Xenopus tropicalis: one gene and its partner. The protein of the gene in region 1 purifies or fractionates together with the protein of each later gene. This does not show direct contact. Links are inferred from orthologs where the notes say so. Each region holds a gene or a part of one and is shown in the gene's direction. Other genes may lie near its edges.

Evidence for each region. The genes of interacting proteins can lie anywhere in the genome.
Region 2: the proteins of pln (region 1) and atp2a1 purify together in Homo sapiens (affinity purification with western blotting, with the first as the bait; 3 studies listed by BioGRID). This does not show direct contact. The link is inferred for Xenopus tropicalis from reciprocal best matches to the Homo sapiens genes PLN and ATP2A1.

The regions. Positions count from the first base shown.
Region 1 is NC_030681.2:73,812,741-73,821,256, reverse strand, and holds the start of pln (cardiac phospholamban), read left to right. Parts: upstream 1-3,140; 5' UTR 3,141-3,247; intron 3,248-7,183; exon of another isoform or gene 7,184-7,215; 5' UTR 7,216-7,333; coding exon 7,334-7,492; 3' UTR 7,493-7,597; intron 7,598-8,516. UniProt on the Homo sapiens protein: Reversibly inhibits the activity of ATP2A2/SERCA2 in cardiac sarcoplasmic reticulum by decreasing the apparent affinity of the ATPase for Ca(2+).
Region 2 is NC_030685.2:602,513-610,380, reverse strand, and holds part of atp2a1 (sarcoplasmic/endoplasmic reticulum calcium ATPase 1), read left to right. Parts: intron 1-56; coding exon 57-145; intron 146-810; coding exon 811-913; intron 914-1,270; coding exon 1,271-1,402; intron 1,403-1,990; coding exon 1,991-2,116; intron 2,117-2,213; coding exon 2,214-2,432; intron 2,433-2,604; coding exon 2,605-2,940; intron 2,941-3,053; coding exon 3,054-3,274; intron 3,275-3,374; coding exon 3,375-3,577; intron 3,578-3,689; coding exon 3,690-3,775; intron 3,776-4,106; coding exon 4,107-4,240; intron 4,241-4,364; coding exon 4,365-4,482; intron 4,483-4,763; coding exon 4,764-4,881; intron 4,882-5,737; coding exon 5,738-5,742; 3' UTR 5,743-5,778; intron 5,779-7,868. UniProt on the Homo sapiens protein: Key regulator of striated muscle performance by acting as the major Ca(2+) ATPase responsible for the reuptake of cytosolic Ca(2+) into the sarcoplasmic reticulum.

The DNA.
Region 1 (8,516 bases):
ATATGCTGTCAACTTTCTTTACTGTAATAAGTGTGTTAGCTATACACGCAACTTGCACCACAACTATAGTAATTACTGATGCAATTACTTATATATCCATGTCTGACATCACAAAGTGGGCAGCGTAAGTATAGAAATTAAATGTGACAGTGGCATTTGAACGGGGCAGTTTATCAGAGGACTGGGGAAAAGGAGCAGTGGGAAGGATCCTTAACCTCATTTGCCCGATCTAGCCAGAAAGTAGGGTGCACCCGAACGCTCTAGATCTTGTGGGTATTGGGCCAGCACCAAACCACTGCTGTACAGCACATGAAATTAACTATGAAACGCTACTTAGGCACACAGCCCTCTAGAATAGAATGCAATTGCCAAGTTTCTACCTAGGGGTCGGTCGGTGCTCCATTTAGGACAGAAATCTTACTTATCTTTCCCAGGAGTGCATACTCTGCACATGTGCAGTAGAGTAACACAAGTGTTTAGTGTGCACTAAAGAGTGTGTGAGTGGTGCTGTGTTTTTTTTTTCTAAAAGAAGCACAGGTCATGAAAAAAAAAATGAGTGATTGCATCTACTAGGTGGTGCCTAACATACTGACAGCCCTCAGTGATGGAGGCTTTCCTTGTCCTGTAGGGTTTATGACTAACAACAATTTGTCAAATTCCAGCAGCCACCAAGTTTCCTAAAATATTTTTTTAGTTCAAGATACTGGGGGTCACTACATGTAAAACACATAACAAGTTGCAATGCAGCTTAATCATGGCAAAATGTGGAAGATTCCATTTTCCTGCAATTTAACCAGATTGCTGCATGTAAAACACTTCACATGTGGAGATCCCCCCCAGTCTCCTATTTTTAGGCACTGTCACTAATGGGAGAGGTGAAAGAGTGACAATAAATTATGTGAATGCAGCTGTGCAACTGCATGCAGTGCTGCTTTATTAATGCAAACAAATTATACAAAGCACAAATCAGTCACAGTTAGATCATGCAAGTTACAACGCAGTGTATCTCAGGATATTAGCTGTACCAAAAAGCAAGAAGGGCATTCTTAAAGGAACATGGATCATCAAACCATTCCTGTTATTGGGGGGGGGGGAAAATGAAATCCATTGATACTCCATTCCTTGTTACTAACTATACCCAGTTTCTTGGGACAGACCCATAACGACAACTGCATGGTAATGTTTTCCAAGAGATTATATTTAATGACATACACTTCTGCCTACTATATACCTCCAACACTGTCCATGTCTCTGAAATTCTAAAGGACTAATGGTCCCAAGTGTGCCTGAAACTGCAGTCTACTCATTTTCTGTTTAATGTACTAGCATTAATGAATTTTCCTTTTTAGGGAAGGTATGAAAAGGCAGCTTTGAGCTGACATTACATTAGGACTAGGATTCTCTGTCACTTCTGCACAAATCTATTCTACTAAACATGCAGACTTTCAAGTGAAAATGTAATGATATTGTAACACAGCATAAAAGGTTAATTTTCATCATATTTAATTATCCAATTGCTTAACTTATACTGTCTTATTTTCAATGACCTTATAAATGTATTACTTATATATTGAAATTTTTTTGTATGCCTTAGAAACTCATTTTCTGTTACTCTTCTTATAAATTGTATCATGGTCCTTTCTAGCTAGCAGATAAAGAGTACAGAGTTTGTCAGGAGTCTTGAGGAATAATTCCTCTGATATTCATCCTTTATGTGCCATAAAGCAAGATAGGGCTGTTGTTAGAACTAAAAAGGCAGAATAAACACCACTTTATAACAGGGTACACTACAACTACAAAAGGACACATAAAAAAACTGTGTACATGATTATACTCAAGAACATTTTTTGAAAGCTTAAATAGTTCCTAAGCAAAGTTTCTATAGATGTCAGTGGGAACTGTCTCAATTAAGTTTATTTAATTTATTTTTTTCCCAGTTGAGATTTCCAGCCTTATTCAAATTGACTATTATTATTTTTCAAAATGGCATACCCCTCAATAGAGCAGTTACCACCACCTACTAAGATTTCTTTAATGTAATAACACCTGACAGATCACTCAGAATTATGGTTAATTAGTTCATCTCTATATCCTAAGCCAGGGGTCATTAGACACTTTCAAATGTAAAAAGATTTGGGGAGGAAAACAAGCATAAAAATATGCACCTGGGGTACTAAATAAGGACTATGATTGGTCATTTGAGATCCCATATGTGGACTAGTAGCCTACAGGAGAGTCTGTTTGGCAGTACACCTGGTTTTATGCAACTAAACCAAGGCAGAAATTTAAAAATAAGCACCTTCTCTGGGGCAACTGGGAGCAATATCTATGGGGCTGGTAAACAACATTTTGCTCCCAAACCAGTGGTTTGGGACCACTCCTAAGGGCTCTGGCACACGGGGAGATTAGTCGCCCGCGGCAAAACTCCATGTTCGCGGGCGACCAATCTCTCCGAGTTGCCTTCCCCCTGCATCCCACCGGCGAACATGTAAGTCACCCGCGAACAGGGAGTTTTGCCGCGGGCGACTAATCTCCCCGTGTGCCAGAGCCCTAAACCTTTACATGGCTTGTTAATAATGCTTGCCATTAAGAAATACTTTGCATTTTAACTGCCACAATAAAGCTTTTTCACACAAGTGTGACAATACATTTTTCTGCAAAGTCCATTGTTAATAAGAAGAAACAAGTACACAACCACTTGTAGCAGAACAGAAAGAGAAGTCGGTAAAACAAATGCAAGATTTCACATACACAAAAAATATAATCTATAATTATATTAGTGGTCCCAAATGAACATGTTTTATCTTAAGCTAGTATTTTCTTACAGCTTTTATCCAAAAACTTTAGTGCAGATAATTAGGTAAACAACAGTTGATTTGCATTTTTAGAACTATGTCAATCAAATAGCCCATTCGTTTATGGGAAGAACTGCAACAGAGAACTTGCAGGCACATAACAATTATTATGTTTTATCAGTTCATCTCACTCTAAGGGAACTTTTGATTAATTCTAAGGAAGGAAACCACAGCCAATCTTAACAACAAACTGCAAAATTCTTTCCAAATATCAGGAGTCCTGCCTCTCACTGCGATTCTGCTTCCAACCACCCCTCACTCTCTCATTTCCACACCTCCTCAATTGTTGTAATAAACTGAGCGACAGCCCCCAGCCCTGCCACTGAGCTCAAGGCAAGCTGCCGAACACTTCCCACTGCAAAACTACTTACTAACAACAAAATTTCAATAAGGTAAGGGCATCTGCACTGTGAAACTAAATAATATTGCTTTTTAACATGCTTTGCATGTTGGCTTGCAGATCAAAGCAGCTTTATCCTGATACATACATTTCAGTCTGCAACTAAAATTGTCATCTAATTTACATGTAAGTGATATGAGTAGGTTTTAATTTTCAGTCTGCAATTCATTTATTTGGAATTCCTATTTTCAGCTAATAAAAGAAAAAGAAAGGTATTACAACCAGTTGTATAAGCTTGGGATTATTTGCAAAGATATGCAGCATCCATATTATATTTAGCTGACTGTCTCACAGACAATTATGTCCCTTGTGGGCTGTAAAAATATTGCTCTTTTAACAGACAGCTGCCAGCATTCTAGGGGGTTCTGGGAAATATAGCTTTTAACAGCTGGATGGGCTCTTTGACGTCTGTAGAACAGTATATAATGTAAATTATATTTATTGTAAGAAAATACTTTAATGTATGTCAATAGAATAATGGAATACATTTGTCAAACTCATCAGTTCCCCATGTCTTGGAACTTCAGATGTATTATTTTTAGGGCTGCTGAATGCAAATAAACACTGGAAATAGTCATGTATTTCTAATGCTGGGAAGCATGTTTGTGATAGCATGGGGAGGTCAAAATGTTAATGAGAAAGGTTCTCATAGGCATTTAGCCTGGAAACCAAGCCAAAAACTATGGAAGGAAATGTAATTGAGGCATTACAGCACAAAGAAAAAAAAAGTAGGGGGAAATATTTTAGTAGAGTGTTGGAAACTGGAAAGTAAGTCTGAGCACCATAGCCTATATTTCCTATATAGTATCACAAGGGCAAAAAGTGGCCCACATAGCAACTTTTTGAATGCTCTATGGCTCACTGTAATTGCTTACTCTGTTTAGATCTGCAGACGAGCAATTTTAAAGAGATAGAGTCTTGAGACTTTGCACCCTGTATATAAATGAGCAAAGCTTTAGCTAGTTGTTTTCTTTAAGCTCTGTATATACAGGCATTTGTCTTGCTGTTGGTGATGCACTTCCCAGTGTACACATTTACCACAGATGAACACTGTCCAGAGGGAGTGCATCTTCAGATCAGCATGACATGTTTCAGCTCAGTTCACCAGCAGGCAACACAGAATATAGAACATCAAAATGGCTCATTATGCAAAATATAAATACCACTATAAATAGTCACTGTTGGTGGTGCAACATGTTCCCTGGATACCTGGCCAGCCATTTACCATTTAAATAAAAGATCAGGACTCAAACAGTCCAATTTTAATTTACCCAACACCAATAGTGACCAAGGGGGTATGACCTTCCTTCTTCAGGGTATGTGATACATATATAGATTGAAACAAATATTGTGGAAATACACAATAATTTATAAGTGTAATAATTTCTTCTATTTTTAGATGGATATTCAGCTATATATTAGCTGTATTTTACCTGCATGTACAACACTAATTATAATGTTGCAGTCTTTTCATGAAACTTTCATGTCAAAGGGAGGAGCTGATTTTGGGTGCTTTTCAACCAGATAAAAAGGGTAAAATAAAAATCACACTGTGTGCCATCAAACTAGATATCCTTCAAATGCAAATAAAACAAATGTGGTTAAAATCCAATGCAGCAATCTGCATCCAAATGTTGCTTTTACATAAGAAGTAAGGCCAAGTTTGGGCAATCTACAAACCTCCAGAATTTGACTTAATGGCTAGCCCAAGATCATGAAATACTTTACTTTAGAGGGGAGTGTTGTTTGTGACATTCCTGGCCAAGCAGTAGTTAATACCTAATAACATAATCCTTTTGTTTACCAGGAATAATTTCAAGAGCCAGGCGGAGTAAGGGACTATTGGCCATGGCTCAGGGAGTACAAGCTATCCCACATAACAAACAGCACAAATAGTTTCATAATTTCTCCACTGGTGACCTTTTCCAAATCCAATATGATCTTTAGCCTACCCAAGGGCTTTAGTAAACTATGAAGGGGCATTCTTGCATCAGCCTTATTTTATTTCTTTGTAACGATTTCAAGTTTAAAAAAAAAAAAAAAAAAATAGTGGAAAAGAAACATTTTAATAAGTGGGTTAACCCACCTCCTATATAAAGCATGATAAAATTGTTTTGAAAGACAAATGTAAAAGTTTATTACAATAATAAAAAGAATACACCCTTATTACACTTTGCTGTCACTGTAAGCTTCATGAATGAACTTACTTGTGTTTGTTCACTTGAATTTATTTAACCATGACCTTTTACAAACGTATCTTATGTGAAGAGCCGAATGGGAAAAAAAATTATACTTTTGCTGGCCAAAAAAATCAAGACAAATGCTGGAATGCCTCCTAGGCTTTACTAAGCAATAGCTTTAATAATGAATCATCTCTCAGACAAGGATCTTACACAAAAATGGAAACAAGTATCTTTTTCTAAAAACAGTATATAACTTATAACCTTAACTCATCAGTACAATGCCTCTACACTACAATGAATTTGAAATTCAGTAGATATTTACTTTTGGTAATCTGCACATCAAACGGTCTGTCCAGCTGGAGGCCCATGGGCTAGATGCAGTCCTCTAAGTTATTTTTTGCTTCATGGACATATCTGAATGAGCCTGTGATATAAATGGGCTACACATATGCATTTAGAATTGTGTGTAGTTTGATTTTTGTGTTAAAATATTTCAGAGGATGCAAATAACTCATAGTATACAACTCTTTCCTGATATAACATGAATTAAGACTTTTTTTTTTTTTTTGTTAGCTGATCCTTTAGCTAGCAGCATATCATGTGTACATGCCATGCACCCCCAATACTCTCTGGCAGAAAGTTTCCAGTCTAGTGTCCTCCTACAAGTTTCAAGCTTCAAATTATATATCTCTAGAAAGCTCAGTAACTTGTGTAGTTGGTACACAGCGTGGCCTTGTGTGTTCTGGCCTTTATTATAATAAAGGTACAGGCTGTAGGTACATGGAGTAGCTCTTGGTACTGTTACTTGTTCTTCTAGTGCATGAACATACAGGACACACAAGTAGCATACAAGGGACCACAGACACTGGGGCTGCTTGCTAGAATTATGAAGAATTTTTATCTTTATTTTTGTCCCACTTTAGTTTCACTGAACAGTCAACCACATAAGGACCGTTTATTACTATGGTGTCAAGCAGCCTGCTAATATATAGTGCAGACCACTGCATACCTATAAACACAGCAGTATATACCTCTGGTTTGTATCTCTCCATAAGATTAGCGTTGAAATCCCAGTCAAAACTGGAATGCTCAACAGCCCAGACCGACTGAGTTTTCTTAACCTAATATGGAATGTAAAATCAAGCAGCAGTATCTCACAAAAAGACTAATTTAAAACCAAATATTCACCTTAAGGCTAAAAAAATGTAGAGAAATAAAAACAGAAAACAAAAATAACAGCGGAGAAGCAGATGTGTCTGTTAATAAATAACTATAACAATAATCACATGTATATATTATTGCATTCACTTGACATAAATGGCAACTAATCAGCAGTTAGAGATGACAGATTTTCTGCTGTTTGATTAATGAAAGCAATGATGATAGGTAACTGGTTTAAGAGAGCATTCCTGTGTTTACAGGAATAATGTTGTGTGTTTTACAGATTGATTACATTTCTTCTATATAGAATGTAGCACTGTAATATAAGTTCTGACCATGAGAAAGAGATCACTGGGAGGTACTTTGACCCTATAAGAAATGTGTGTTTTTATGATCCTTGGGGACTTACTTTCTCTCTTGTGCTAACATTTATATATTTTACAATATGCAAAGCTAGTCTGAGAAGTAACAAGTTATCTGTAAACTAAAATAACATATTTTTATGGTGCACGCATCAGCCGTAGTGTGGAGTCTGCATGGAGCAGTGATGCTTAGTAACTTGCATGATTTACTTGCACTTTAAGGTCCCTAACTCTCCACTCTACTACTTACCCAGCTTCAAGTGAGGGAGAAGATTCAGGCCCTTTCTTTTCAACGAACACGGACACAACTTTCTCTCTGTCTGCACTGCACTATAATCTGTCACCTGCACCTCTCTGCCCTCTCGTGTAGCCATGGAGAAGGTCCAGCACATAACCCGCTCGGCTATGAGGAGAGCCTCAAACATTGAGGTCAACCCACAGACCCGGCAAAACCTGCAGGAGCTTTTTGTCAATTTCTCTCTGATTCTTATTTGCCTGTTGCTCATCTGTATAATTGTCATGCTTCTCTGAGGCTTCCTACTGCGTACAAGAAAGACAGACTATACATATGCCTACTGAAAGGAATTGGCACTCACCTCTGTAAAGATGTGGCACTATTTATAAGCTTGCACAATGGTTAGTCTCCCAATTGTGTATACAGTGTACTATTTTATTGTATGTATTGTATGTAAGTTCCATTTCTAACTATTAATTGCATACAGTGGGATGTTTATAAATGGCTGTCCTTGTATTAGATGGCTATATTTATAGAGGTAGCATACAACAGTTCTTGCCATTATCTGTCATCCTGGAAACCTGCATAGTCTTGGTTACTGTTAGTTGTATGTTGTCTTCTTACTGTGTTCATTATGATGGTGTGTGAACATTAAATATAAGCATGATCACAGCCCCTGAATTTTAATTTGCTAATCACTAAGTTGCAACATTTCCAAGAATATTACATTTGACCTAGACTATATTTTAGGCATTGTATTGCTGATATTTTAACAAAACACATGCAACATACACAGGCCACATCTAAATGCAAGCTGTTAGTTTTATTGTACACACAACAAAATGTAGTGGTTCAGTACCTTTGGCCTTAGTGTTAGTAGAAGTGTCATCAATAAATTTGTCCTAAGTAAACTCAACAAAAAAATTCTCTTTTCAGAACACAAGACATTTATCTGGTGTGATTTTTCCCCATAACAATAATACAAACTTATGTAAACAGCAGTAAAGATTATTCATTGTCTGACAAACAAACAAGAATAAGCAGACAATTTATGAAGACACTGCCCCTATGGAGACACCTGCTTTAGACACACACCTGTGTTTCATTCCACAATTTATCTCAACTGCTTTATACTAACAAAATAAAAATGAGAAAATCTTTGCAATCTTTTCAAAGAAATAGGGTTTCGGTTTTTTTTTCTAAACAATTTGCAAAAAAAAGACAGGAGAGTATGCATCTAAATGCAATGTTACACAGTCATCTATATTAAACTAAGTACACAAAAATATTAAAAAGCCCTGTAATTATAAAGTGGAATTT
Region 2 (7,868 bases), on another chromosome or scaffold:
TTGCAATTCCATGGTCCATCAATTGCAAAACCTAAAAACTGTTTTCTTGACCCTAGATGTTCGTGCTCGACAAAGTTGATGGTGACATCTGCTCCTTGAATGAATTCTCCATCACAGGATCCACCTATGCCCCAGAGGGAGAAGTGTGAGTACTTATTGTCTTTTACATACACAGCTCAACACATCTTTTCTCCAACCCTGTTTGGGTCTCAATGGAACATACCACATATAGCAGTGATCCCCAACCATTGGCTTGGGGGCAACATGTTGCCCAAACCAGCTAGTTATTTTTGAATTCCTGACTTTTGGTTGAATAAAAACAAGATTTCCTACCAAATAGAGCCCCCTGTAAGCTGATAGGGTGCATAGAGGCTGCTTAATAGCCAATCACAGCCCTTATTTGGCTCCTCCATGAACTGTTATGGTGCTTGTGTCCAAGTCTTTTTACATGTGACTGTGGCTCACAGAAAGGTTGGGGTTCCCTGACATATAGTGTCTCTGTGCTGAGGGCTGTTGGGGTGACTAGGAGAGAAGAGAAAGTTCTCACTGACCTTCCATCAACCCCTTTCATGGTTTCATCCAACATTTTAATCTTTTTACACACTCTCCTCTATTTTCTCTGCTTCCTATGGCTAGTAGCATCATATCTCCCAAATCCCATTCACACTTTATTATCCATGTTTATCTCTCCATTTTTTTCTCAACTTCACAATCCTCATTTCTTCATTTTCTTTCTTTTTCTTTTCCTATACCGACCTTTCCTTCATGTCACCCTGCACTGCCATGTTCTTTCCAACCTCTGTCTCTCAGTCTGAAGAACGATAAGTCCGTGAAAGCTGGCCAGTATGATGGGCTGGTTGAATTGGCCACAATCTGTGCACTTTGCAATGACTCTTCTCTCGACTACAATGAGGTAAAATCAGAGATGATGAATATCCCCATGTTTAGATGTTCTCTTATCCCTAATTGGTTACATTCTGTGATGGGCAAGTTCTAGAGCAATACTAAGTTAACATAAAGATACTGGAAAGGTTGTTGTAGTTAATTGGAAAGGTTCTGGGCCAGAACTGCTCCATTTTATGATTTCCATACTCAAGCTGTAGAATCTGGACCCATAGGAGGTATATTATGGGCTTAGACATGTTGTGATTCTGTTTTAGCTCTAGGCCTTTTGACATTTGATACATTGACATGTACAGAGAGTGAGGTTTATGCTTATTCTAAGCCTCAGCATAGAAAGTCAGACTGACCTTCCATATTTCTCTGACAGTCCAAAGGAGTCTTTGAGAAGGTTGGAGAAGCCACCGAGACTGCACTGACAACTCTTGTTGAGAAAATGAATGTGTTCAACACAGAAGTGAGGAGCCTGTCCAAAGTGGAGCGCGCCAACGCCTGCAACTCTGTGAGTACCGGCGCCATTGTGGAGCTCTAGCGCCATCGGTCAATATAGAATGTACAAGCCCGCTCACAAAGGGCCTACTACTTCAAATCCCTACAACAAAACCATTACCCTTTCATGGTGCCCACATTTCCCCAACTACCATGGCCATATAACTTTCTCATACCCATAAATACTCCACCTCATGGGATATGTTACACCAGCTGCCAGCCCGGTACTGTTATTGATACCCTATTATGCAACAGGCTGCCTGCAATGTATCATCAACGTTTCTACACCATGCACCTGCCTCCTACTTGTCATGACCAAGAAACTTAATGATAGCATGTTGTAACCTACTACCCCAAGCAGCTGCCATTGTAGAATTATATAGAGCCAGCAGAGTGTCATGTAACTCCAGCCTAGTAAGCCTGGGGCCAGGTCTTTCCAAGGCTTCACCACCCTAAGGATTCTGGGCTATTGCTGACCAACATGTGCTTGTTTTGGAACTAAAGTCTCTTGATGCTATAATGTACATTATAATGGCACAAAAACAAATGAACGTCCCACAATGCTCTGTTGTTAACAGAAAAATTACCCCCACATCCACAGGTGATCAAGCAGTTGATGAAGAAAGAGTTCACCCTGGAGTTCTCCCGTGACAGGAAGTCAATGTCCGTCTACTGCACCCCAGCCAAAGCTTCCCGCGCTGCCGTTGGCAACAAGATGTTTGTGAAGGTGACATTTTGGGATATTACTATCAGTACAATACATTCTATATAGCTGCACCCCCTTTTCTCAACCTTCAATCTATATGTACTCTTCCCTATGACAGGGTGCCCCAGAGGGTGTCATTGACAGGTGCAACTACGTACGTGTGGGCACAACCCGCGTTCCACTTACTCCAGCCATCAAGGATAAGATTCTGACTGTGATCAAGGAATGGGGAACCGGCAGAGACACTCTGCGTTGTCTTGCTCTGGCTACAAGGGACACCCCACCCAAAAGGGAAGAGATGGTGCTCGATGACGCCACCAAGTTTGTTGACTATGAGGTAGAGTTTACATTTTATAATCTAGCTTTATTTATTTTCTTCAACCCATCAAAACCTTGAATCATTCACACGAACAAAACTCCTCTGCTAAGCGTAAGAGGGCAATGAGGTATCAATGAGGTATCGGTAAAGTTGGAAGCAACTATCATTGACCATTACTCTCTTCCTTCAGACTGATCTCACCTTCGTTGGTTGCGTGGGCATGTTGGACCCCCCTCGTAAAGAAGTCATGGGCTCAATCAAGCTCTGTCGTGAGGCTGGTATCCGTGTCATTATGATCACTGGTGACAACAAAGGAACAGCCATTGCCATCTGCCGTCGTATTGGCATCTTCGGTGAGGATGACGATGTGTCTAGATGTGCCTTCACTGGACGTGAGTTTGATGACCTGCCCCCTACAGAACAAAGAGAGGCCTGCAAGCGTGCTTCCTGCTTTGCCAGAGTGGAGCCCACACACAAGTCCAAGATCGTAGAGTTCCTGCAATCCTTCGATGAGATCACAGCTATGGTGAGTGCTGGGGAAGCTCAATACAACCCTATAGTAAAGCCTCTAAAGCAATACATCCCATTCTGGTGCCGTCTCTTGATGCATAAGTCACTGTCTAATTTTTACTTTCACAGACTGGTGATGGTGTGAATGATGCCCCAGCTCTGAAAAAGGCTGAGATTGGTATTGCTATGGGCTCTGGTACTGCTGTGGCCAAGACAGCCTCTGAGATGGTGTTGGCCGATGACAACTTCTCCACAATTGTGGCTGCAGTAGAAGAAGGCCGTGCCATCTACAACAACATGAAGCAGTTTATCCGCTACCTCATCTCTTCCAATGTAGGAGAGGTTGTCTGGTGAGTACAAACAGGGTCTCTGTTGAAGTTCTGCTATAAGAAAAAGTGCATTAGGGCAAAACCCCTTACTGGTCCTGTTTTACCCATCTCCACTCTATAGTATCTTCTTGACTGCTGCTCTGGGTCTTCCTGAAGCTCTGATCCCTGTTCAACTGCTGTGGGTCAACCTGGTCACAGATGGTCTGCCAGCCACAGCCCTGGGCTTTAACCCCCCAGATCTTGACATTATGGACAGGCCACCTCGTAGCCCCAAGGAGCCCCTGATCAGTGGATGGCTTTTCTTCCGTTACTTGGCCATTGGAGGTAATGATGCGTGCCATCTATCACTGCAGCTTCCTCAGTTATCTCACTACAGATACTTAAAATATAATGGGTCTGTACCATGACTCTTCATTGGTTCACTTTGTATCTGTAGGTTATGTGGGTGCCGCCACTGTTGGAGCAGCTGCCTGGTGGTTCATGTATGCCGATGATGGACCTGAAGTTACTTTCTACCAGCTGGTGAGGATGCCTTTTCTCATTGCCAATCCTGTGCCACCCTTTCTCCCACTTACCCAGTTTCTCTACATCATTATCCTTACTGTCTTCTTCCAAACAGTTCCAAATCTACATTCTTTTAGCTTTTATTCTCTATCTAGAATGTAAAGTTGGAGAAGATCTTGTTAAGGTGGCGCGCTATCTACTGTAGAACAAATGACCATGCTGATTTTGCACTAAAACAATAGCTTTCCAGATGGTTCAGTCAATAATTTTCCATCCGTAGACTTCATTTCCTAGTAGATTCCTAGTAGATTTTCCAGCTACTGACATGTTTTTGATATTCTTACTTTAGAGCCATTTCATGCAGTGCACTGAGGAAAATGCTGACTTTGAGGGTCTGGAGTGTGAAATCTTTGAGTCTCCTGTACCCATGACCATGGCTCTGTCTGTGCTGGTCACCATTGAAATGTGCAATGCCCTCAACAGGTAAGAACCATTTCATACCTTCCTTCTGGTGTCATATCTATGTCCCTTCCTCTCTCTCGCTTAAAGCCCTATTTCCCATATCTCATTTAATTGTTGTTCCTAATTCTGATCTTTTCCCCTACAGTCTGTCAGAGAACCAGTCTCTGGTCAGGATGCCCCCATGGGTGAACATCTGGCTGTTGGGCTCTATCTGCTTGTCCATGTCCCTCCACTTCCTTATCCTCTATGTTGAGCCACTTCCAGTAAGTACATAGACCTTCTCTGTCTCTAAGTAATTCTTTATATTATTCTACTGCCATTGAGCTTTTGGAGAGTTGTCCCCACATCATTTTGTCTGTAGAGCTGCATTATCTTTTAGTAAAACAATTTGAGATAGTGAAATACAGTGATTGGCTCAAACAGAATCACATGAGTACAACGTATATTCTATATGATGTTGATGAGCATTATACAAACCACCGTTGGACATTTAACCCTAGAGCATTTGATTCCCTGAGTTCACTGCCAACGTTCTTCTCTACAGATGATCTTCAAGTTGACTCCTCTGAACTTCACTCAGTGGTTTGTTGTCCTGAAGATTTCCATCCCTGTCATCCTGTTGGATGAACTGTTGAAATTTGTTGCTCGTAACTACCTGGAAGGTAAGTCCCAGCTCATCCTTTTGCCACAGTTGGCAGCATTTCCAATCACCATTTCTAAAAGAATCTTTGAGGCCACCACGTGCCGTATGTACAATATATCTCAAAGTAGCACTGATATCTGCATTGTACAGCTTGCCTGCTGGGTGTAGAAACTGGGCAAGCCCAATACTCATCTCTTTGGATGATTTCTTCTCCCTCCTTATCTCAGTAACCCCAACAATCTGTTCTAATAATTGGCTGGAACAGTAATAGTCTTGTCTAAACCTTCTTCCTGGCTTCAAAATGGAATAGTCAGGGTTGGTACCAACCCAATATCCATATCTGTCCAACCCCTGCCCATGCCTAGAACAATAGTTGTTGATGAATTCATGCAAGATCCACCAGAAGCCATTCTTCTGAAGCCTTGTTCTTGCTATGATAAAGCCCATTGCTGACCTCTTTGCTGCAAGACCTTATGTGTGGACCTTTAGTGGTGTGAAGATCCCATAGACTCAGCAAAGCTCAGGGTTGAACATCAACACTACGTTGAGCTGCACAGGTCAGATTAACCCGTGCATCCCAGAGTGAAGAGGCTAAATCCCTGGTGCCAGACAGTAGCATTACAGGTAGAAGGCACCCAGGGTCACCAACCTTACCTAATGACCAAAGCACAGACTTGAGGATGAGGTGTGAGGGACATCAAACTGGTCTAATAATATTTATGTGGGTTTATAGGAACAATGATTTTAATTTTATTTCAATGTGTTTTTTTTATTACATATTTGGTTTCGGTTCCCCTTAATGTTATATCTCATAAGCATCAACATCATTATTTCTTTTCATGATTAATCCCTAACCTTTTTATCCTTTCCCTTAGCATAATCTTTACCACTCCACCACCTTGTTCCTGCCTAAGAGGTATCCCATAATTCTTGCGCTTCCTGTCTCAGCCATCTTTATGTTGTGCTGCAGGCTTTCTGGTGTCCCATTTTTATTCCTCCCCACTATGTTTCCCCATCACAACCTAGATGTGTTGGCTTCTGTACATGTCCTGGTGGTTCCCTGGCTCCCTGTATGTGACCATAAGGGACTCACCATCAGTTCCTGTGACACTTCCATGCCACTTTGTAGACAATTCACCACAAGCTTCCCCTCCATGAGCATCTGGCCTATCCTACAATGCCACCATACTTCCTGCTCCCTAACGTTAGACTTCCCATTGACTACCATGACACTTCCTAGTCACTGCCATCCTGCTGCCTGTTCACTTTGGCCACTTTGGCGCACCTGTGCCAGAGCAGTTCAGCAAGGCTACCTGCCATTCCCTTAGCTCCTTCCCCAGGATGATAGCCTCACCGCCCATGACCATGGTCCTACTAACCACTTACTATTTGTTACCCATGCATTCAATCTTCTTCTGGTCACTTTGACCTTTCCCCAGCCCAATGCAGAAGGTCATAACAAGTATGTATGGTTTCTAACTAATCAATTACTATGGCCTACCAAGACTTTTCTACTTCACTTTGTACCCTACTGGGGAAGCAACGCACTCTGAGCACCTGTGGTTTCCACTTGATGTTCTTTATTATGATATATTTCTCTTTATTCCCCTTACCTAGTACAGTCCCTCCACTGAATAGCACTCCCTGTAACTACTCTCCCTCCACAGACACTTCCACGCCAGCTTTCTCTGTCCTTTCAGCTAATGGTTCCAGTGTAGCAAAACGTGTTGCTCCTGTGCCTCCTGTTTCTGTGCTAAGGCAAAATGGGGGTGTCATTGTGCATATTGGCGGCTATGCTGTGCCACGTGCCTCTGCACTATATGTCTTTGTGTTCTTATGTGGCCTCATGTTCAGTGGTTCTTTGCTCACATTTACTGCCGCAGCTGATTTATGCAATGCTCGTGCAAGACTCGTGGCCAGTTTCAGTAAAGACTTGGCACCCCAATGTGCACCCCAATGTGCAACACCGACTGGCACCTTCATTAGTGTGTTACGTCTGGGTTAGGAGCTTCCTCTAGACTTCCAGGTTGATCACTAAACTCATTTATAGAAACCTGAAGGCCCTTAGCCTATAATCTTGGTATTAATGACCTGTAATGACCAATGTGCCGGATATTGGCCTGACCTGTTAGTTAGCTGGAAATGTAACGGGATCCATTATAACTCTATATAGAGTTTTTTGGCTCAGAGGAGACACATTGAAGGGGAAGGTAGGGGGTACGTTTCTTTGCTCTAGAGATTCCAGTCTGGACTGATGAGGCAGAGAAGGGTAGGTAGGTATTCTAGTCAAGACCCGTGAGGGAGAGATGGGTAGGTAGGTATTCTAGTCAAGATCAGTGAGGCAGAGAAGGGTTGGTAGGTATCCTAGTCAAGACCGGTGAGGGAGAGAAGGGTGGGTAGGTATTCTAGTCAAGACCGGTGAGGGAGAGAAGGGTGGGTAGGTATTCTAGTCAAGACCGGTGAGGGAGAGAAGGGTGGGTAGGTATTCTAGTCAAGACCCGTGAGGGAGAGATGGGTAGGTAGGTATCCTAGTCAAGATCAGTGAGGCAGAGAAGGGTTGGTAGGTATCCTAGTCAAGACCGGTGAGGGAGAGAAGGGTGGGTAGGTATTCTAGTCAAGACCCGTGAGGGAGAGATGGGTAGGTAAGATTAAGATCAGTGATGGAGAGATGGGTAGGTAGGTAGGTAGGTATTCTAGTCAAGATCAATGAGGCAGAGAAGGGTAGGTATTCTAATCGGGACTGGAGGGGCAGCAGCTTATAATGATGCTTATGACTTGACTTTTGCACCAATCAAAGCTTAGCATGGGGGCGCATTGAGAACGAATGTATCTTAATTGGTGGAAGCTTATTTTATTGTAGTTTGTTTCATCATTCCAGGTAAGTTGTGTAAGATGCTTTGTCCTCGTCTAAGATAAATATATATAAATAATGTACCTGCTGGGGGTATAGGGGGCTGTAAGTAGCCTCAGTTACACAGCTAAGGCCCCATGGAAGTTTATTATCAT